Drosophila melanogaster: one gene and its partners. The protein of the gene in region 3 interacts with the protein of the main gene of each other region in a pairwise test. Each region holds a gene or a part of one and is shown on either strand. Other genes may lie near its edges.

Evidence for each region. The genes of interacting proteins can lie anywhere in the genome.
Region 1: the proteins of CG13159 (region 3) and CG15861 interact in a two-hybrid assay, tested with the Drosophila melanogaster proteins (one large-scale study listed by BioGRID).
Region 2: the proteins of CG13159 (region 3) and CG31999 interact in a two-hybrid assay, tested with the Drosophila melanogaster proteins (one large-scale study listed by BioGRID).

Annotation. Positions count from the first base shown.
Region 1 is NT_033778.4:24,940,492-24,948,698, reverse strand, and holds CG15861 (uncharacterized protein), read left to right. Parts: upstream 1-3,497; 5' UTR 3,498-3,739; intron 3,740-3,844; 5' UTR 3,845-4,276; coding exon 4,277-4,680; intron 4,681-4,765; coding exon 4,766-4,876; intron 4,877-4,933; coding exon 4,934-5,036; 3' UTR 5,037-5,307; downstream 5,308-8,207. Other genes in the region: CG2790 (uncharacterized protein), read left to right, coding at 346-951, 1,013-2,029; CG3770 (uncharacterized protein), read right to left, coding at 2,174-2,316, 2,367-2,480, 2,536-2,938; Tina-1 (troponin C-akin-1), read left to right, coding at 6,435-6,449, 7,258-7,577, 7,645-7,813.
Region 2 is NC_004353.4:222,349-231,117, reverse strand, and holds the start of CG31999 (uncharacterized protein), read left to right. Parts: upstream 1-3,369; 5' UTR 3,370-3,442; intron 3,443-4,567; 5' UTR 4,568-5,283; coding exon 5,284-5,356; intron 5,357-6,678; coding exon 6,679-7,173; intron 7,174-7,231; coding exon 7,232-7,561; intron 7,562-8,105; coding exon 8,106-8,327; intron 8,328-8,381; coding exon 8,382-8,464; intron 8,465-8,519; coding exon 8,520-8,577; intron 8,578-8,769. Other genes in the region: yellow-h, read right to left, coding at 719-1,207, 1,547-2,213, 2,878-3,113.
Region 3 is NT_033778.4:12,371,582-12,378,296, forward strand, and holds CG13159 (uncharacterized protein), read left to right. Parts: upstream 1-3,704; 5' UTR 3,705-3,787; coding exon 3,788-4,018; 3' UTR 4,019-4,097; downstream 4,098-6,715. Other genes in the region: CG13160 (uncharacterized protein), read left to right, coding at 81-104, 182-695, 752-926, 983-1,067, 1,229-1,349, 1,415-1,569, 1,626-2,009, 2,067-2,247 and 4 more; Cpr49Aa (cuticular protein 49Aa), read left to right, coding at 5,117-5,128, 5,191-5,400, 5,508-5,720.

The DNA of each region.
Region 1 (8,207 bases), about 13 Mb from region 3:
CGGACACGGATGAAAAGAAACGTCCGTCGCCGTCGAAAGTAAAAAAGCTAATGACGGGATGCGCAGTTACGTATGACTGCTAGGAGATGCCACTTGCAGTTTAGCCACTTAACTGGGTAACTGTAATTTCAAGACCTTGTAAGAATAGGCTTCTATTGTTTTCCTAACGTTTTTTTCAGCTATTACAATAAACGCAAAACGCTCTCAGCCCAAAAGTAAGCTACTTTGCAAGATATTTACGTTCCCCTTCCAGCGCTTTGCAGCACTGACAACGCATCTGTGAGCGCCAGCTGTCTTTCCGCCCATCTGGCAACTCTATCAAAATTATTTGTTGTTCTAAGAAACATGCGTTGCTATTACGAGGAGCTCGAGCTCCAAAGAAACGCCAACGATGGGGACATCAAGAGTGCGTACCGTAAGATGGCCCTGCGCTGGCACCCGGACAAGAATCCCGACCGACTGGCGGAGGCCAAAGAGCGCTTCCAGCTGATCCAGCAAGCGTATGAAGTTCTGTCTGATCCTCAGGAACGGTCTTGGTACGACAACCATCGCGAGCAGATCTTGCGCGGCAAGAACTCCGATTATGCGGAGAACTGCCTGGACGTGTTCCAGTTCTTCACGAGCTCCTGTTACAAGGGCTATGGCGACAATGAGCACGGCTTTTACCGCGTGTACACCGATGTCTTCGTCCAAATCGCCTCGGAGGACTTAGAGTTCATGGACAAGGACGACCGGTTGGGGATGGCGCCTGACTTTGGTCATTCAAACAGTAGTTACGAAGATGTGGTGGGTCCGTTCTACGCCTTTTGGCAGGCATACAGTACCCGGAAGACCTACGACTGGCTGTGTCCCTACGATGTTCGCGAAATAAAAGAGCGCTTTATCCTACGCAAGGTGGAGAAGGAGATGAAAAAGATCGTTCAGGCTGCCCGCAAGGAACGCAACGAAGAGGTGGGCGATGAATTCCCTTTTTTTTCTTCCGAGACACATTTTACTTACCTCATTTACTTAGGTTCGCAACTTAGTCAACTTTGTGCGAAAAAGGGATCCCAGAGTGCAGGCCTACAGGCGCATGCTTGAGGAACGCGTCGAGGCCAATCGACTTAAGCAGGAGGAGAAGCGCAAAGAGCAGTTAAGGAAGCGCCAGGAAGAACTGGCAGCCGTCAGGAAAAATAATGTCTTTAACGAGGGCTACGAGGAGCAGCTAAAGCAGTTAGAGCAGCAGTACGATAGCAAGTCAGAAGATTACACGGATGAAGACGAGAACGACGACGATGGCGAGGACTTTGACCATGAAGGCGGCCAGGAAGCCGAGGAGTACGAAGTGGAGTATGTAGACGATCTTTACTGCGTGGCATGCAACAAGACATTTAAAAACGCCAAGGCGCGTGCTAATCACGAAGAAAGCAAGAAGCATAATGAAAATGTCGACCGGCTGTGTCAGGAAATGGAGGAAGAAGAGGACGCTTTCCACAATGAACCCCATGAAGACAGTTTAATGGGCGTACAGGAATCGCTGGAAGAATTGCAAGTCTCTGAGGATCAGATATCTTTCGACGGGGTTCCAAGCGAAGAAGAATCTTCGCTAGCCAAACGAACCAAAAAAAACAAAAAGGCAAGGAAGTCAGCTGTCAAGCAAGCGCAGGCGGAAGGCAGTGACGAACCAGATGAGCCAATAGAAAAGAAGGCAATCAAGAGCGAGTCAGAGGATGAAGACTGGAGTAAAGGCAAAAAAGCGAGCAAAAAGAGTAAAAGCAAAAAGACGACGACTAGGAAGGTTAAGCTATTAGAGCAAACTGTTTCGGAACCGAATACAAAGGAGGCAACAGTGGCTCCCAAAAGCGGAGATGAGGACCTCGACCCGACCAAGTCGCAACACACTTGTGTTACCTGTAGGCTTGTCTTTGACTCCAAGAACAAGCTGTTTGCCCACCTAAAGAAGACGAACCATGGTGTCTACATACCTAAGGCAAAGCCTAATGTTGAGGGCAAGCCTCCTGGCAAAGCTAAGGGCAAGCGCAACAAGTAGGGTCGTATAGATATCCACCCACACCTTGTATCTATACTGTAGAATGTTAAAAGTTTATTTATGCTAATGATAAATTTAATTCGAGAATGAAGTTAAGTATGCTCGCTCCAAGTCAGATAGTGTTCTTATTGTATTCAAAGGCAGCTACGGAATACAGACCAGTTTACTGCCCGCCTCCACGCGTCTGCGAACTCGAGTTCGCATATTGGAAGACTCTGCCTTTAGGCTTATACCGGCGGCAGTAAATGTTAGGAGTACCCCAATGATTCCGCAGTAGAATGAAACTCCTGTAAGGATTAAGTTTAGTAAGTTTCTAAGAAAAGTTTCAAAGAATTACCTATGCTACAGTCGGCGGGGTAAAAGGGTTCGGCATCCATGCCGCATAGACGTTGAATCCGGTTCGCTCGCCATCCCATCGGATGCAGAAATAGACCCAACATCATACATATTCCTATAAACAATGCAAACTTAAATGCTGCGAGGATATCACAGTAATGGTTGCTTACCTGCTACGACCTGGGCGCAGGCCGTCATGTTGTGTATGCTCTTGCCACAGGCCGACTGGCGGCAGCAGGTGATCAGGGTCAGGATCACCGTTACAGAGAGTAGACTAAATCCCAGCATGACGAAGAACATTGCCGCTTTCCATTCGTTGGGGTAAACGCTACTGTCCGTGGCCAGTCCGTCCAAGTCGAAGCGGCCGCATTGGAATCCGCCCTCCTGCATGACCTTGCAGCGCGTGTAGATGCCCACCGAGGATTGGTGGTGAGAGCTGGCGGTGGAGTCTGTTCCTTGGGCGGGGCCCACCAGCCACCTGGGCGTGACCAGGGCCACAGCAAAGAGCATGTCGGCCACCAGCGAACAGAGGAACCACACCAGACTGGCGATGGTGATAATAACGTAGCACATTTTGATGCACCAGATTTTTCGGAGTACACAGATTTAGCGATCGACGACGGGCGATCGCAACGCGTCAGCACTTGCCGGATAGATAATAGACTCTAAGCGCTCTTACTTTGTCTGGGCACGCACATCCCACACCCACTTTGCCGTCACCCACCACCACCGTCGCACCACTCGCCACCACCAGCAGCGCGGGGCCAGACCAGAACTTCCTCCCAGCTGACCAGCCCGAAATGGAATTGTTTATTTTATGTTTTCGCCGCTCGCTGTTATGCGGTGCCTTTCTGCCGTCTGTTTTATGTTATTCACCCCACACTCACACGCGAGCGGAGGTTGACTGTGGGATAGGGGGAGCACGAGGGCGAGGGCGAGGCGGTAGACCGCGCAGTCCGCGGCTCTGTCAAGAACAAAATTCGCAGCTGACGTCGAAGCGAAGGGAAATAGAGTCTAGCGGGAAAATAACTCTGCCTCGATGGCGTTTTCGCTAATCCCCCAAGCGGCTGCAGCTATTTGGCAACTTTATTCCACACTCTGGAACTTTGGATCTGAGCTTCTGTTCGCGCAGGCGTGTCTGCTGCCGTTCCTCGCCAGCGTCATCTCTCGCCGACTCCGACCGACCGAATGAATGGAGCCCATTAAAGCCAGCTGCAGTCGCAAACGGAGCCAGGCCCCAATCGGAGCACTGGAAGAAAAGGTTTGGTGCATCAAATCGTAATAATCGAGTTCTAAGTTGGTTTATGCGTTACGTATTTATCGTATAAATTTAAATCAGCCGGAAGAATTTAAGAAACTGAATGACTATGTTTGGTAAGAATGTTTACTTAGAGGAAATAATTAATATAAAATATTGTAATTTAATGAGGAATTTTTTTCGAATGTATTTTGTATATTTTTAAATGTTGATGTTTTCAGTGCCTTATGCAGATGTGGGCGCCGATTTCTCATTGAGAGCGTGGAAATCCAGACATTCCGAATTCAGAATCAGTCCTCGAATAGCTCTCCCTGGCTCTCTGCACACGCGTTCGAGTTGGATCCAATCTGTCGACTCCACCACCACCAACCCCACCATTGCCTCCACCCCCGTTCGGGTGAGTAATGCACGCCGCCGCTTCGATTCGGGCTGATCATGTGCAATTCCGATCGAAACGATCTTCGGTCGAGCGGTTATCAGTTGGCCGAGTGTGTTGGGGGCCATTGCGTCATCCGCACTGTGTTTGTGCACAGTGATCGTGACCGAGGCCGTAATGAGATCCGTACACAAAGTGCGCAGCCTCCGGAAAGCACTTTCACTCTCCCTTTCGTTGCCTGAACCAATCCGCGGCTCATCACTTGCCATTAGCCGAGATGTCGCGCCGGATGGTCTTCCTACAGTTGCTGCTGTGGGCAGTAGTAGAGGGTCACTATTACTACGACTACGGCTACTGGGAGATCAACGAGCCTTCACAGCTTTGCTCCGACTACGAAATGCTGGTGGTCAACACCCGCCAGTGCGTAAGGCGCTGCAACATCGTCTGCCTGAATGGAGTGTGCTTCGAGGACGGATCCTGTCCCTGTGCCGATCAGTATATGGCGGGTAATCCGGATGGTTTGGTGTGTGCCGCAGAGTGCCTCCCCGGGTGCGTGGCGGCAGGTGGCTACTGCGCCGCACCAGATCTCTGTGTGTGCCGTGAGGACAGGCACTACTACTTTGATCCCCTCTCCCAAAAGTGCCGCCACAGGGCTCCCCGTCTGCTGGACCCCTGCCTTGGGTGAGTATGATTCTTGCTCCTCACCTTATCGCTTAGGAAGTGTACATACATACGTATGCGTTTATGTGCCCTTTCTCATTTCCAGGCGCTGCACACATGGCAACTGCTCCTCCGACGGACGGTGCATCTGTGCCCAGGGATACGAGCTAAGGGACAGCCTGCTTCATGGACAGCAATGCATGCCAATCTGTGATCAGTAAGTTTGATTGTCGCTATATCTTTTCGCCACACTTGCCCTAAACTGTACCTCCAGCAACTGCGGACCACGAGCTTACTGCTTCGCTCCTAACTTGTGTGCCTGCCGGCACAAACAGCACCATTATGCTCACAACGGCATCTGCTCCGGGAACTATTGACCTAGAGAGGAGGTTTGACAGCAATGGGGCTGTTTTAGGTCCCGCTGATGTCGTATGGATTTTAATATATGTATTTATTGTTTAGGTTCATGATTATTTATGAATTAAGCTACAAGACTATGTTACTCTTTTTATTGATTTAAAATTTTTATGGAAAGGCAATCTTGTCTTTAGAAACTGTAAGGAATAACATAAAATATAAAAACAGCTTTAATCGCCTCATAAAGTAACCTATAATTTGTCCATATTAAAATACCAACTTCAAAAACGCATTATGCATATGTATTATATCGATTTATCTAACCTGAGGAAATATGAGAAGCACTAACTTTATTGAGTGCTTACCCTTTCATAATGAATGGGCAACAATATACAATATGTAGTTACGCTTGATAGTTCGTATTGAGTCCGAAAACTAAAATGCCTTACCTTTCGCAGGGCACAATTCAGAGAGCGCAGTGAGATTTTGATTTTAAAGAGCGCATGTCAACTGGTTTGGTTTTGGTGTTGTTGTTGCCGCACCCCCTCCCCCACCTATCAACCAATCAATTACAAAGAGACTTTGTTATTGTTTATAACAAATCGGACACATGGAAGTGCAGAATATTACAATATACAGTATACGATTTCCGATCCCCACCGATCAGCAGAGAAACTGAAGAAGACATGCGTACGTGTTCTCCAGAGGCGTCGCCAGCGAACTAAAATGCTGCTAGGGGGGGGTATCATAGAGGGAGCGTGGATCTCAAGAGGGACTTCTGTGCTCAGATGTTATTAGGCCATTGATAATGCCCGAATTTTAGAGTGTTTGTGCTTGCGGGGCCTATAATATTTCGGGTATTTCAACTAACCCACACCCCCCCCCAGAGGATATTTCTTAGATAAAGACCAGTCGGCAGAACCGTCATTTTTAGCTTTGCGCGTGTGGCGTGTTATTGTTTTACTTGTTGTTGTTCCACTAGAGGCGGGCCTCTTGGTCTTGACGACAAGGCACACTGGGCAGAGTCAGTAAACAGGGCAAATAATATTTTCTTCCTTTTTCCAATTTTGATGAAATTGGATATATACCATAATTATTATTTAAGAATTGCTTTTCCACGTAGTGTCGACTAATACTTTCATATGCAATATATTTATATAAGTTGAACCAATAACACGTTGTGACTTTGCTCCACTGTGCCAGAAGCAATAACAACAACAACAGTGGCAGGCGGCAGCACCGTGTCCGCCGACGTTGTTCTCCATCACGATTTAGTTGGAGTTTTGCTGGCCATCGGCGCGGTTGTATCTCTGCTGGAGCTCGTGCACACTATCCTATCCAATCCCGAAGAGCTCTCTCGCCTTTGCTTAGTGCAGCAATTTGCAATTTTAATTATCTGCAGGCGGTTCGACAAGAAAATGGGCCAAGCAAAGGTAAGCTGATTAAGAGTGCAGCACAATGTGAAGCCCACGCACACATGCACACTTTTAGCTTGTGTATACGCATCCCTTATCCTTCGTCCTTGGCAAGTGGGCAGCCCCAAATGGAAAGCGTGTAAAAGCCTGAGAGCTTGGGAACTAAATTTAAGGCATTTTAAGTTATCCGATCCATCGGAGGGTTATCAGATAGTTTATTGGAATTTTTAAGATATCTACATATGTATGAGTGTGAGCTGATGCCTGTTCTGGGTTATGTAAGCGGATTCGCCAAGATGCTTTGATGCAACCGTTTGATGACATTGATTTAAGGCCGCTTGCGTGTGTTATCCATTTACTGCAATGATTAAACCGATTTAAGCAATTATTAATGTGCCAATTACATGTGTACAGATAGCGAGTGTCTCCATACATATGTACCTGTGGAGGCGTAACTGCTGCGCAGTTTGTGAGGCACGCACTCAGCCCCAAAAATACGAAACAGCTACGTACATATATTAGCAACAATAACAGACTTTAAGAATAAACGTGTGAATGCACGAAACCGGTTGAGCCATCCCATTCTCGCCCAAAAAGCGGTTCAGCTGAGAATCTCGCCAAACACCGAGACGTTTCGTGAACCTTATCAATAACTTGCGGGGGCTAGCCAGTGGAAAGTGTTCGGATCCCTGATCCCTGATAAGCCACGGCGATCGATTGATACCAGTAGAGCAAACTCTCACAAGATACCACCAGTTTATCAGATCTCTAACCTAACCCTACTTATCTGTCTTTACGCCACACCCACCTCTCACGCACTCCACAGAAAGTCTCCTCCGCCTTGAGCAAGCTCTTCGTGTACGGCGCCCTCAAGTACGGACAGCCCAGCAACTCAATCCTGGCCAGCTCTGGCAACGGCTTCGCTAAGTTCTGGTGCAAGGCGACCACCACCCAAAAGCTGCCGCTAGTGATCGCCACCCGCTACAACATTCCCTTCCTGCTGAACAAGCCCGGAGTGGGATATTACGTAACAGGGGAGATCTACGAGGTGGACGATCGAATGCTGAATTCCCTGGACAACCTGGAGGATTGCGAGGAGATCTACACTCGCGAGATGCACGATATGAACATTGGCGTTGGAGAAGGGTGAGCATTAGTCGGATCTGACGTCATTTCAGCAATGTGGTGTGATGGGTCACAATTTCCTTTCCAGAACCGTTCCATGCTGGGTGTACCTGCTGCAGAAGTACCCGGAGAACCTACTTAGTCTGCGCTACTTGTCCAGCTACGAGAACTCAACCACCCATCCATACATTATGCGCCATCGCCGCACCCACAAGCATCCGGCCCAGGACGACCTCACCTACGAGGCCCAGAACTAATAACGTGGGTTGTGGTGTCGCCCGTTTGTTTGGATGTTCTCTGGATAGCCTGGCCACTAATCTTATGTTACCGTAGTTGCATTTTAAGACCGTACTTGCAGACGCAGATGTACTGATCGATATATACCCGTATATATGGGCAAACGATATAAACTGATACATATGTACCATACGCATTATTTAGGTTTTAGCAAACGTAGTCTGTAATTTGATAGTTTTCGACAAACAAAGCAAATAAACTGAAGCAATTTAAAATAAAATAAAATGCCCCTCGTTCTATTATAGAAGTAAAGATGCTGGACAGCAGTCCCTGGTAATTTTCCACAGCCCAGTGCCGAGGGCTTCAGTTTCTCGCGGTGTACGGAGGCTAGATTCGGTGCGAATGGCAGCAAGA
Region 2 (8,769 bases), on a different chromosome or scaffold from region 3:
TAACATCGCCCAAATTTGATTATATTCAAAGTAATATCTCGAGAAAATACTGTAACATGAATATACATATATCCATTGATGTTCGATATTTCTTTATAGATAGTAATATTCTCTTTTAGAGATGTTATATTAAGTACACCCAAAATCAAACCACTTTCAGAGGAAACTAATGACGATAACACGAACTTGAAGATACAATAGAAGAAAGAACACGCTCCCTACCTGTTACTTCTTACAATTGGATATAACCTTTCACAGTACGACTAAAAAATATAAATATATTACAAACAATTGTATACACGTTTGAATTTGAACCCTAATATTCATTCGTTGAAAACTAGAATGGCGGAGGGAAGAACTGCTGACCCATAAAGAATATACTTCGAATATTCGAGCAGAATCGCAAGCCAAGTTGATCTAGCAATGTACGTCCATTTTAATTTCGTGATCTTTAAAATTTTAAAAGCTAGAAAGCTAATTTTAGATACGTATGTTCTTAAAAGTCCGATCTTATGCCAATTTGGAACTCGTACACGTTTAAAAACTGTTATTCTTTTAGTCAATTTAGTTAATTGCTTGGACACAACAAAGCGCAAAAATCTGTTAGACCCAAACCTTCAAAAAAGGTACTAGAGTATCATTTGTAACGGACGCAAATACCAAGGTTGTTCAAAAATTTACAACATTTTGTTGTGTAATTGTTTATTTACCATAGTTTTCAAAAACACTGTCCTTCTTCTATCAACACAAAAGCTGACTTTGATGTATTAATATAACTATTATCCGGATTGCAAACACTATTGCGAATAATCTTATTTACATTCGCCTTTAAAATTCGAAAATTTACTTCTCCATAATCTAGATTGCTGTATAGAAAAATTGGTAGTCGGTTACTTATAAGCCATACATTTTGATCTTTTTCTTTGTCTACTTTTAAATCATTTGGAAATTGAATAAGATTTGAGTTTTCCATATTATGAAATTTTCCCAAATGTGCTCGAGTGTATGGTTTCGATGTATCCCAGCATCCAATATCATCTTGATGAACTTGTGTAAAAAACATAATGCCATTCCTTGTAACTCCTGATGTAGATGATTGAGAATTATATCCGCGGTCTCCAATTGGTATGAAGTACTTGGCGTACTCTTGAGTATTCGTTTGCCACACAGATTCGTTTAACAAGATATTCATAGGCACCATGAACTCCTAAATGAGAAAGTATTATAATCACAATTATTATTATTATTATATCAGTTACTCGTAGAGTATAAGGGATTGCTAGTTTGGTTAATAAAAATAAAACAGAAATAAGCCTTTTCGGACCCTACAAGCTGCAGATAATTAGCTTACTTAAGATTTAGATTTATTTAAGTACCTTAAGTAAGACTGATCAAGTAGTAAGCTGTAGGAGGGGTTTTTAAAAGTAAGTCGGCGAGCCATTATTTAGACAATAAAGACAATGTTAAGAAAGGCATTTTTTAAAATCAATATCAAATCAATTCCCAGCCATTTTCTTGTCTTTATTTATATACTCCTTATACTCACCTTGAAACTTGCCATTGGATGAAAATAAAGAACGCGTTCCATTATTTTCTTATTGTAATATATACTCATTCCAAAAACACCATCCAGCCATTGAAAATTTAATCCGTATACATTAAAATCCGAAGCAAAGGGATCCGGATAAAAGTTATAGTTGGTCACGCGCCAGCTGCGGTTTTTTGATAGGCTGTAAACAAGTAGACCAAATCTCCATACATCCGATACGATAGCATGCGCATCATCGCAATCTTCTCCAATATCCACAACAATATTGGAGTGCAACGAATCTTGCTTCACATGAGAAGCTTCCAAATTGTATCGAACAATCAGTTCGTCACTTTTAAGATCATACACAACAATTTTTGGTGGGCAGATCTGATTTAAGTTTATTGTAGCATTGACAATTCCAGAATCAATTAGCCAAATTCGATCACACCTATCTACAGCTGTTCGATAAACTGACATCAGTTTTGAGCAGTCAGGATTGTTTGGATTTCCATGAGCCTCCCAGTTTGGATACGGCTTTATTGCCGGGCTTGACTCTTTTGGAGGAAAGGGCAGTGTACCTAAGCTAGCAGGCACACCATTCTTCCAACGAGGAGTTGTCACAAACAGGCGGTTATTATGGACATCAATGCCTAAAGGTAAATTATTTTTTGGTACAAAGTCTCTGTAAATATTAATATATTATAATAATTAGACAGTAAATTCAGCGCAGTAGAATAACACATAAAGCCAGATTATGATAATCCTTTATGTAACAGTCTGTAACAGCCAGAAGGAAGCGTTTCTGACCATGTTCTATATGGTCATATACAATATTCTTTATAAGGATCAATAGCCAAGTCGAACTGGCCATGTACGTCGATCTTTATTTGCATTTGCATTTTCCCTAGCTGTGTAACGGGATTCTGATAGTCGGGGATCTCGACTATAGCATTAGAGATAATGCTAGGATTTATTCATCAATATTAAAGATATGGATGAGACGCACTGAATGATTCGAATGAAAAGAAAGTATTTATAAGAACTAGTCTCCTATAGTTTTCGAGATAAGATATTAATTTGTTAATTTTTTTTCGCATTCGCAGTTCCACGAGCTGATTAACGGATATCTGATAGTCGGGGATCTCGACTATTTGTGACATAAGAGCGTCAAATAGTTTATTTTTCGAATTTTCTTTTATACCTCTCACAATACAAGCATTTTAAATTTATTAAAGGCGTATTTTTTGATTTTTTTACTAGTACTACAATTTGTTATTAATATTAATACATTTTTCAAATTATCTCTTGATTTGTAAGAAACTGTTATAACCAAATTGTTTTGTTACCCATTTAAAATAGATTGTTGGCGTTGCACAAAAGTTGAGTATAGGAAATCCAAATATTTCCATTCATAAACGATCTCCAGTTGACTTTCACTCTGTAAGTTTTGCGAAAACGACTGCGAAGTATATTCATAGCCATCAAGTGTTTGGAAAACTGGTTGAACACTTAAGTTTCCATTTAAAGTCTTCGATAAAAAAACTAACTGTGTAATTATATTAAAGATAGTCATAGACTGCATCCTAGCTGAATATTAAATAAATAATTCTCAAAAATGTACTCTATGGAATCAATCGACCAGATCTACCAACGTTTAAAGACTGATTTAATGTATGTATGTTTAAAATATCTTTTACATGCTTGTTGATGCAGATCAGAGCTTTTTTGTAAGGTATTGTGACAACGCTTAAGCTTTGTTTTAAAGCTTTTTCAACTATGTAGGTATGTATCTATCTATGTGTTGTCTTGATCTCCACCAGCCGAAATTGTTTGAATTTGTTCTTTTGTTTCGCATTTCATTCAAACGTGTAGCCTTAATTTCACTATCGGACCTGTCCCAAATTTTAATCGGTATTGAGTTTTACGAGTTTTTTCTAAACTAACCATGAGCAATATAATCCTCAGTATTAACAAAAATTTTAACTTTCATCAATTTTTTCAAATGGTTTTGATTGATCAAGAAAATTTGTATTATATTCAATATCTCAATCTATTTGCTGGCAAAAACAGCTATTATTTCAATTCCATCAAATGATTTATATAAATAAGTTTTAAAAAAATAAATAAATATTGTTTTAAAGAGTGTTGAATGAATTCAAATGTTGACATCAGATCCTTGCATGTAGATTGTTCGATCGTCACTTTTTTTCACATCTTTAAGAGTTGGTTTGGTTTGATGGGTAATAGGGGTAAATAGTCTGCGCCAAAAAAAAGTATATATATTTGTATGTATATATATTTACATATAAGCCACCATTTCCGACCCTATAAGTAAACACTTACATATATATGTATGTTGTTGATCTAGATTGCTAGCCGATTTTAAGCTCTTTGCCCCCGTCGGTCATCGTTTATCTGTGTATAGTTATTATAAAACGTAGGTATGTATGTATAATAAAATATAAAATATAATAAAAAATTCAAATTTTAAAGAGCGGACAAAACGACGGTCACAGTTAAGCAGGTATGGTTGTACCAAAGACACTAGAATAGTGTCTAGACACTAAAATAGTGTCTTTGGTTTTACCGAGATATACATACAGTTTGTCAAGAAACTGTTTGCACACTGTGAAATAAGTTGAATTTTTGGCTTTAATGGTAAAAATTAAGAGTTATTTGCTTAATTAAACGGAATTTTTTTATGAAATTTAATTAAACAATATTTATTATACTAATAAATCAAAAAACAAATTAAAATATTAAATATACAAGTCAAGAAACTCTACACATTTTGTTTTCGTACTTTGTCTTGTTTTTTTTCTTAGAACTAACTCGATTTTTCCGTGGTTTTTGGTTGGTTTGGTTTTTCCGTGGTTGGTTTTTGTATTGCATTTTTACGCTTCTATTGAAATTTTTTGACTTTGCTTGTGAAATTTTGCTGATCGAACGTGCTTAAAGTAAATTATTAAATTTGATAAAATGCCTGGAAAGAGATTAATTGTTTAAGTTACCCAATTAATAAACTATAACCACCAGTTGGGAAAATCTATTCCAGAATTAGTAGAAATGTTTTCTGTATCCCGTACGACCGTCTACAATGTTTTAAATCGCACGGAAAAAGAGGAGAGGCTTGAACCTAAGAGTCGGTTGGCGCACAACCAAAATTATCAAGCGCGTAGACCGCATTATTATACGAATAGTGATTGCGAACCCCCGAATCTCGGTCAGAGCACTTGCTCAGGATGCCAGAGAAGAATGTGACCAAATTGAATGAACATATGTATGTATGTATATTGATCATATCTTAAACGTTTTCTGCTACCTTTACCTAGTTTCAATAATTCACATTGCTCCAATTCACAAAACCTGGGATTAGCAAATAAAAGTGTGTTTAATAAGAAAATATAACAGCAGGTCGTCGAACAATAAACATATTTATGTACGTAAATACATGTAACGTATAGCGTAGGCTTATATACATACATATGTACATACATATGTCAACAGCTTGCTTTGGCCCACACGCGTTTCAGTCTTAAATCCTCTTCGTTCTAAAATTATATATTTGCTATACATACATACAAGCATATACAAACATGCATGTGTGCGCTGCTAAGTGACTGAGATAATTCCAGATAGCGTATGCACATGAGCGTTCTTTATTTTCTCATTCATTGCCTGACCTGTTCATTTAAAGCTCCCATCTTTATATTAATTTTATTTTTTACCCGGATTTGATTTCTGAACCCGTTATGTTTTATAAACTATGTGCTTTTATGTGTTTCTTGATAGTTGGAGGGCATGTCACCACCACAATGGCCAGTGGTAAGTAATGTGTAGTATACTTGCTTATATGTCAATAGATATGAATATTTATATATGTACCTGCCTACTGAAACCGCCCATTGTATATTTTGGGCAAATCTTTAAAATTGTATTAGGTTAGTTATAAAGTTATTAAGTTATAAAGTTATAAAGTTATAAAGTTATTAAGTTATTAAGTTATTAAGTTATTAAGTTATTAAGTTATTAAGTTATTAAGTTATTAAGTTATTAAGTTATTAAGTTATTAAGTTATTAAGTTATTAAGTTATTAAGTTATTAAGTTATTAAGTTATTAAGTTATTAAGTTATTAAGTTATTAAGTTATTAAGTTATTAAGTTATTAAGTTATTAAGTTATTAAGTTATTAAGTTATTAAGTTATTAAGTTATTAAGTTATTAAGTTATTAAGTTATTAAGTTATTAAGTTATTAAGTTATTAAGTTATTAAGTTATTAAGTTATTAAGTTATTAAGTTATTAAGTTATTAAGTTATTAAGTTATTAAGTTATTAAGTTATTAAGTTATTAAGTTATTAAGTTATAAAGTTATAAAGTTATAAAGTTATAAAGTTATAAAGTTATTAAGTTATAAAGTTATTAAGTTATTAAGTTATTAAGTTATTAAGTTATTAAGTTATAAAGTTATAAAGTTATAAAGTTATAAAGTTATAAAGTTATTAAGTTATTAAGTTATTAAGTTATTAAGTTATTAAGTTATTAAGTTATTAAGTTATTAAGTTATTAAGTTATTAAGTTATTAAGTTATTAAGTTATTAAGTTATTAAGTTATTAAGTTATTAAGTTATTAAGTTATTAAGTTATTAAGTTATTAAGTTATTAAGTTATTAAGTTATTAAGTTATTAAGTTATTAAGTTATTAAGTTATTAAGTTATTAAGTTATTAAGTTATTAAGTTATTAAGTTATTAAGTTATTAAGTTATTAAGTTGTTAAGTTATTAAGTTATTAAGTTATTAAGTTATTAAGTTATTAAGTTATTAAGTTATTAAGTTATTAAGTTATTAAGTTATTAAGTTATTAAGTTATTAAGTTATTAAGTTATTAAGTTATTAAGTTATTAAGTTATTATGTTATAAGGCTTTAAAATTATTACCACACTAAGGTATTTAGATTTCGGATATGAAATTGATAAATGACGAAAAAGAATGCTAGCCTCGGGCAAGGGACATCACCATATGGACTCATGTGTTGATACTGACTAAGAATACTTATAGAGTTGAAACCTTTTGATTTTTACCAATATATACTCTGGCTTAAAATATCCTGTGATCAAGCGAAAGTGAAAGTTTTATTTTGTTTTAAGACAGCATATCGGGTTATATACGAAAATGCTGTATAAATGGACTTCGACATGCTCGTACGACCGCCTCTTGCAAAAAAATCGACATAGCCCCAACAATAATCCCGCAGCTCTGGCTTGGACTTTGTCATTCTACACTTGAAGTCTGCTGTTCTCGAGAACTGGACCATCAAGATTGCGAGCTAGGTCGACTGGCTGCTTTAGACGGTACTCGCTGTGACGGAGAAGGAAATGTAACATCTAGCTCCTATGCGACATGTTGTCGTTCTTGTCAAATCGGATTAGCAGTTAAAGCGAGTAAAGCCAATTGCAAAGATCCATTATTTTCATTTATTTTCTTAATTGAATCATACCGAGCGTGCTGTTACGGATCTGCTGACTTTAAAGACCAGCCCGGTATCGACGAAATCGATAAGGCTAATTCTATTACTGATGAAGGTGAATTGCCGTTTGTTTCTGAAGAGGATATGAATGTAACTATTGTTCTTACCGGCGATGGTAAGTATATCTTATTTGTGTATCATTTGAAATCATAATTAATTGTACTCATTGGTAGATGACATATGTGGAAAAATTGAAAACCTTTGCGCTCACATATGCGAAAACACTTTCGACGCATACCAATGTAAGTGCCACCCCGGGTTTATGTTAGATAATAACAACGTAACATGCTCTCCGATGAAAACCCAAATATGTCCCAGCGGTTACAATTTAGATAAACTGGATAACAAATGCATTGACATTGATGAATGCCGGGAAGATCTTCATGACTGCAAATCATCCCAATATTGCCATAATACGAATGGCGGATACCACTGCTTAAATGTGAAAGAAAAAGAGTGTCCACCAGGATTTCATTATGACCATGATTACGATGCATGTAAAGGTAATTTTAAAAACTGTTTGAAATACAGATAAAACTAGATAGTCTAGACTAAACTGGACTATCAGTTTTACTCTGCTAGGATGGGTAATGGGATATTTTAAAATTAAAATTTATACAATAAACACATTCCATCCACAAATGTGCTGCCAATTTGGGCAGCTTTCGGCCGTGGGCGTGGCTTAAACTTTTTTGGCATATGTATTTAAAAGACTAACAATTAAATAACAAAAATGACAACGTTTCCTAAAAGTGTCGGGTGTTCCAGTTTTGGCGGTTTGCGGGCGTGAAATAAAGAGCACACCCCTGTAACATATTTTTCAATATGTCGTGTATGCCCTTTATCTCTGCGAGTACAGGTATAAGCTATGAATCGGTTCGGATATCTGAAAGTTTAAAAAACTTATATATAGCATTTTTAAATTGTATTATTTTAGTTTTTAATCAGTCTTAATCCGGTATCTGAAAATTAAAAATCCGATCTATAGCATTCCTTTAATCTTATTATTTTAGCTTTTTTAATTTGAAGTGCGTTCTATTCACTTAGATGATTACAAATGCAAAGATCGTAAATGCGTTAAAATTCAATCTTGTGATAAAGGATTCAGCTTGCATAACGGTACCTGTTCCGATATTGACGAGTGCTCACATAAATCATTAAACAACTGTCATGTCAATAGTAATCAGGAATGTGTTAACACAGTGGGAAGTTATTCCTGCAATTGCCTGCCTGGATTTAATTTGGATGCTACACTAAATAAGTGTGTTGGTAAGTACGTTTTTTCAGTAAAATAAGGATTGTTATTTATTTTGACTTCCATAGATATAAATGAATGTTCAATAAATAATCACAACTGCCTTCCAACTCAGAGATGTGATAACACGATCGGATCATATATATGCACGGTATATTAATCTGTATACAACATGTTGCTTTTGTTACAACCTGTATTCTATATAGCGCCTACAAAGCTGCGGAACAGGCTATACCTTAAATGCAGAAACGGGGAATTGTGACGGTAAGAGACCTTGTTAAAAAATATTATTTATACACTAGTGGGCATAAGTATTTGTACAAGAAATATATTCAATATATTTCTTTATAACTCATTGTATACTTAAACCAAAATTGTTTAATAATTTTAGTAAATTGGTAGACTATCGTTGTTAAATTAGCTAACATAAACATATGGATAACTTCATTGTTGATT
Region 3 (6,715 bases):
ATGTCCGGCGAGTTAGTCGTGCTTCGGGAGTCGTGAAAGGTGCTCTTGCTTGGACGGTTCTCGAATCTCTTCAAAAAAAAATGGGAGCCACTAGGAATGGCAAGGTGTGTGATTTCATATTGATTTACCCATTTAGGATCATCCCAAAGAGATCAATTATAATATTCTCTACTTTCAACAGCAGTCCCTTTCGGGGTCTGAGAACCTAATAATCGAGGTGGATGAGGACAAGATCCGTTGCAAGCAGTATTCCTGGTACTTTGCCCCCATCTACCTCCTGTTCTGGGTGGGTCTCTTCTTCGCCGTCATATATCCACTTTTCCAGGCCTTGCCCACCGGAATCAAAATCTCCGAGGAGGCGGATAAACCGGGACAATTCGTGGCCGAGAGAGCTCAGGAAATACTGCTGCAAATAAGTCGATTGGGACCCCGTGTGGTGGGTGATGTTGATAATGAAGTCACAGTTGTGAATTTGCTGCTCGCTGAAATCGAAAAAGTGCGCCAGGTGCTGCGAGACGATGTCTATGAAATGGAGGTGGAGGTGCAACGGGCATCCGGATCCTACTTGATCAAAGGCCTAACGAATCACTATCAGGGTGTGCAGAATGTGATCGTTAGACTGAGTACGAAGAGCTCAAATAGCACCTCCTACCTTTTGGTCAATAGTCACTACGATACCAAGCCGGGTTCACCTGGTGAGTCTAATGATGGACTGCATTTCGGATAGGCCTTCAATAACTATTGTCCACAGGTGCCGGAGATGATGCTGCCATGGTTGTCGTAATGCTGGAGGTACTGCGTCTGGTCGCCGTTTCAGGGGATCCCTTCCTGCATCCGATTATATTCCTTTTCAATGGTGCCGAAGAGCAGCCAATGCAGGGATCACATGGTTTCATCACGCAGCACAGATGGGCTGCCAACTGCAAGTGAGTTTGAGTCTCAGGCGGAGATCACCGGAATCTCTAATCCGCTATCCAAACAGGGCTCTACTGAACTTGGATTCCGCTGGCGCTGGTGGACGTGATTTGCTCTTCCAGGGCGGTCCCAATCATCCCTGGCTGATGGAGGTAAGTTCCCCTGTTTGTGGAGCTAAAAACCCCCCGAAAGTCGGCAACGCCATTGGTGATTCATATATTTGGGAATGCTCTGATCGCATTTCCGATATGGGGGCTGCTATATCACCCGTCTGGCTGCTGATCAATTAATCTAATCTTCCGCCTTATCTTAGCATTACAGAAACAGTGCCCCGCACCCGTTCGCCACCACAACGGCCGAGGAGATGTTCGAGGCTGGTATCATACCATCGGATACTGATTTCCGGATCTTTCGGGACTTTGGAGTTGTGCCAGGTGGGAATCTCGGCGCAAGAAAATATCCTTTTCAACCACACTACTCAGGAGCTCTTCTCTTTCAGGCTTGGACATGGCCGGCGTGTACAATGGATTCGTTTATCACACGAAATTCGATCGCTACGCGGTGATAAGTCTCGATTCCCTGCAGAATTCCGGCGACAATTTACTGGCCTTGGTATGGAGTATTTCGAATGCCGAAGAAATGTACGACACAGAGGTGGGTTTCCTCTTTCGAGTGGCTTTTGTCCATTTTTCATGGTAATCTTTCAACAGGCACACGCGGCGGGACATGCAGTATTCTTCGACTTTATTGGACTGTTCTTTGTCCATTACCAGGAGTCGACTAGCTTGGCCCTGAATCTCTTCTTCTCGTTCGGTGCCATTTTGCTGGTCTGCATCTCGTTGTGGCGAATGTCCCGGGTTACTGGACAGACTATGGGCACCTATGCCGGCGTCTTTGGACTCCTATTCCTGCTAGCCCTAGCTGGTGCTCTCCTCGCCGTGGCCTTTCCTCTGCTGATGGCCACCTTTTATGATTGGGGAAATAGAACGTTGACCTATTTTAGCAACAGTTGGCTGGTCATTGGGTTGTACATTTGTCCATCGGTTATTGGCCTTGTACTGCCCATGACCCTCTACTTGACGCATACGAAGTGTGTAAGTAGTATCACTTGTTAACGAAGTTATTTTGTTATACTAAGCTATCCTCTGCAGAACAAGATCCCCCATACTTATTACTTGCATATTGTGGGTCACGCGAACTGTGTCCTTTTGGCCATCTTGTGTTTGGGTGCAACGGCTCTTAAATACCGTAGTGCCTATCTATTTCTGATCTCTCTCATTTTCTACGTTGCTGCTCTGATCATTAACCTACTGACCCGTCTCCATTGTCGCGGTAAGTTAGCTTATATATTCGTGGAGAACTTTTAATGATTCATGCCAACACTTTAGGTTATCTGTGGTCACTGGTGCTGATTGTTTTCCAGATTATACCCTTCATTTACCACGCCTACTTGTTCCACATGTTCATACTTATTCTCATTCCGATGACTGGTCGCTTTGGCGTCTCCACCAATCCGGATATACTAATCGGCGCTCTATGTGGTTTTGGCACAATTTTGGCGTTATCTTTTGCTGTAAGAAAGTTATTCACATTTATTGACTACTTTACTTAATCAGTTTCACTTAGGCTCCTTTAATCAATGTCTTTCGGCGACCGAACTGCATGCTGGGTGGTCTGGCACTGGTTATGTTTATTTTCTGCATGATTGCCGTCTCGGATGTCGGATTCCCGTATCGGCCCAAAACAAATGTCATGCGTGCCGACTTCATGGTAAGGGAAACACTAATAAGCATCCTTTGAAAGACGACTAAGTTCTATTCTTTGTCGGAGCAGCAAGTGCATCGCAAATTTTTCGAGTACAATGGTTCCATCAGCCACGAGGATTCTGGCTACTACTTCCATCTGGGGGATCGAAACAAAGAGGCACCTCTGCGCGATCACATGAACCTGACCAACCTGGTACGCCTGGGCGAGGATTGCGACTCCGAGCTGATGTGCGGTATTCCCTGCTACCGATATTGTAGTGCCCGGGAGCATGCACTTTGGCTTGCTCGAGAGGAGCCCGTGGAACTGCCTTATCCAACGGTCTTGGAGTTCCTTAGCAAGACAGTTCTGTCCGGTGGCTATCAGGTGCGCTATGAGTTCCGGCTAACTGGTCCGCCAAATATGGGTCTGTTCTTCAAGCCACTGGATGGTGTAAAACTACTCCGATGGACGTTTGCTCCCGCAATGCTGGATAATCCGGCCACTTACAGGCCTCCTCTGGAGGTCATGTTAACCTACGGTATTGATAACACTCCCATCGAATTCTTCGTGGAACTTTCTGTGCGTATTTAATGGGTCGTTCTGATAACTATACTAACTAACTGATTCTTAGAAGGACGATGGCAACTTCAATGAACCCGTCTTTGAGATGGGCGTCTCTGGACACTATGTCAGTCCACATGATAAGCGGGATGCGTTGAGCCTGGAGTTCCTTGCCACACTTCCGGACTTTGCCTTCTCGATGGAGTGGCCCAGTAGCTACGAACGGCATATATTCTAGGATAGTTAGCTAATAAGAATACCAAGTCATTGACACTCCCAACCCGAAAAACTTTTATTTTTCGGAAAATGGAAGGGGATCAAACATTGGATGCATTTCACAATGAGTTGGTCGGTAAACATTGGTGGGGGAAAGCTAGCAATGTAGCAAACGGTAAAGGAACCATTTGTGCAAACATTACAGGGAATACTACGACTGCCGCAGTCAAAATATGGGTATAAATAGTGAGGCCTGGACCAGCGAAAGACACACTCAGAGTTCAGCAGCTCGTCCGTCGATAAGCAACAGCCAGCCAGCAATCCTAAAAGCCCAAAAAATCCAATCAACATGAAGTTCTTCGCTGTCCTCGTCTGTTTCTCCGCTGTCCTGGCCATCGCAATGGCATCTACCGCAACTACAACCAGCACTCCCACAACGCCCTCTTCGCCCACGACGACGACGTACACCTATACTACCACCCCGACCTACCCCACCTACACCTACACCACGGACACCACCACCACTAAGCCAATCAAGCAACAGCTCCTGTCCCTGCTGTTCAACAAGAAGTCCGGATAGAGCCGCCCATCCGATCCACGATGCTGCCACTTGATACGATCCTCATCACCTGAATAGCCAAATAAAAACACCAAATACCAAAAAACAAACAAGCGCCGTCTCTTGCTCTCACACAATACCGCAATCGAAGTTAACCATCTCACGTAGCATTGGGCGGTGGGACATTTGGGGCTTTACTTCCACCTCCACCTCCATTTCTACTTCGGCGGTAACTGACATTTGCTCAACTGGCAACGGAACGCCCCGGCTCAGGCATTACCGCCTTTTGGCCGGACCTGTTCAAGAAACATCTGTTCGGCTGCCGCAAAGGTCAAGCGGCACTTGCCACATTCAGTTAGCTGGTGAGTAAGTCAGTTGGCCAGCCAGACATGATCATGGTCAGGTGGCAGTCATAATCCCGCCAATGATGATCATCAAGCCGTTGAGTCAAATGTCTAATGACTGCACTGACAAATTGATGTAGGAATGCAGCAGTCTGTCCCTATTCCTCTCACGCTGCCGAGGATGAGTTATGAATGTCAAGCTGGTCATGTTCAACACGATCCGAGATGATCATAGTGCCTCCAACGCCCCTCGCAATACAGGTGCACAGTGGGCGATGGCTAGCTAGGATAGTTTCTATTGCAGCAAGCAATTGAAGATGCAACTGTGCTGATGATAACTTCCAGCATAACAACTTAATGTTGTGAGATATTATACTAAACTATATTTTTCTTTGCTCTAATGATAAAGTAGAGTCCCCACTGTGGCTGTCATGTAGACAACTCATTCGACAAATTGCAGCATATCGGATGGGTCGTGCACTTGTAGGTGGATTCGATTCGATTCGGTCCGGTCCGGTTCGGTTCATTTGCGCTCCATGGGAGATGGTATTGGCCTCCGACAAGAGCCACCTAAAAGAGGCTTCCGATCGGCGGGTCTTCAAAATGCTAGGCGTTCACTCTTTAATCTCCAACTGCAATAGTGTCTGTGTGCAAAAGTTCAAGCGATTTGGTATAAATATGCAAAGAGTCGCCTCTGTTGACCACAGTAACGGATCGAGACGAACTCGGAGCAGACGACCAGGACCCAGGATCACAGGATACAGCTCGGTTCGACATGCAATACACAGTAAGATGGAAGAGATCAACTTGGGTATACTCCATGCTGATATCGCATCCGCGTGCTTTCAGCTGCTCTTCATAGCAGCCCTGCTGCTCAGCTTGGCCCAGGCCAGACCACAAGTGAGAGGCCAAGCGCCGGGAGAACCCATTCCAATTATCAGACAGGAGCAGGAGGTCAACTTCGACGGCTCCTACAAGTATCTGTACGAGACGGGCAACGGCATCAACGCCGAGGAGGAGGGCTACCTCAAGAATCCAGGCACCGATAATGCCGGCCAGGTGGGTGTAGGAGAACTCCATTCACAGTCGTGCCTGGCATTTGCCGGCTACCAGTTGGCCAAACGAAACGAGCACTAACTTGCATTTGCCCTTTTACCGCTCCAAAGGTCGCACAGGGCTCCTTCTCGTACACCTCACCCGAGGGCATTCCGATTCGGATAACCTATCTGGCGGACGAGAATGGCTTCCAGCCGCAGGGCGACCACCTGCCCACGCCGCCACCCATCCCGCCTGCAATCCAGAAGGCATTGGCCTACTTGGCCACCGCTCCGCCGCCGCCACAAGAGCAGCCCGGCGGGTTCAACAACCGACGTGGTTAGGTAATCACATCGACTTCTACAATCGAATTACCTGGTTCTACTCAATTACAAAACGTGTGCGAATGAACAATAAAACTGGCCATACAACAACAAATGCAGAGTGGATTTTCAATGATTAGCAAATGATTTAGCTGTGGAATTTAATACTGACTTTAGTAGACTTAATCAAGTGGCAGATATGCAATCAAACGATGACGTCTTGCGATCTAATGACTAATGATGTATTGATTTCCAATTTACTTTTGCGTTTGGATCGATTTCTTATGCGATTGTAAATATATTGGAAATAACCCGTATTCAGATAAGATTTAACTCACTTGGGTCCAATTCCTTGACCTTACCCTCGTGAATCAAAATATGTACTGAATATTCTGATTTTATGGGCTAGGCGCGTGTGGTCGGGAAAACCTTATTCATACTTGTTCTTTAATGAGGGGGATGGTAAAACAGCCTGATTTTTCTAGATAAGATTTGCAAAGACTTAAGTTCAACTGAACCTGAAGAAAGTAAACCAAATAAATGCGTTAGAATACATGCATAACTTTTCCATAGATTTTCATTTTCGATGTATAATATTGGCCAATCTAATCATGCTTGTGATTAATATTATATTAAATGGATATCATTAAACTCATAGTAGACTTAATCGATAATAATTTCATTAGCTAGTGCGGCACTCTATTCCAAATGGAAAGATCTTTATCCATTCAGTCAGCTTTAATGATCATTACAGGGCACGCAATATTATGTTGCCTAGTTTCAGGCATTTGGCATAAATGAAGTTGAAGCGGCTTGGAATTGTATTATCTTTTCAAGAAACGTGGACAACGTCCGAATATCGTGGTAGTACCTCCAAGAAGTTTCAACAGCCGGCTGTTCCAGGTGGAGAACGCTGCAATGCATCTCCATTGAATCGTTTCTATCGCTGAGCCATCAGATCGGAAAGCAGCCTTCCAACAAATTATGAATTAATCGCCCCGTAAACCAAGACGCTT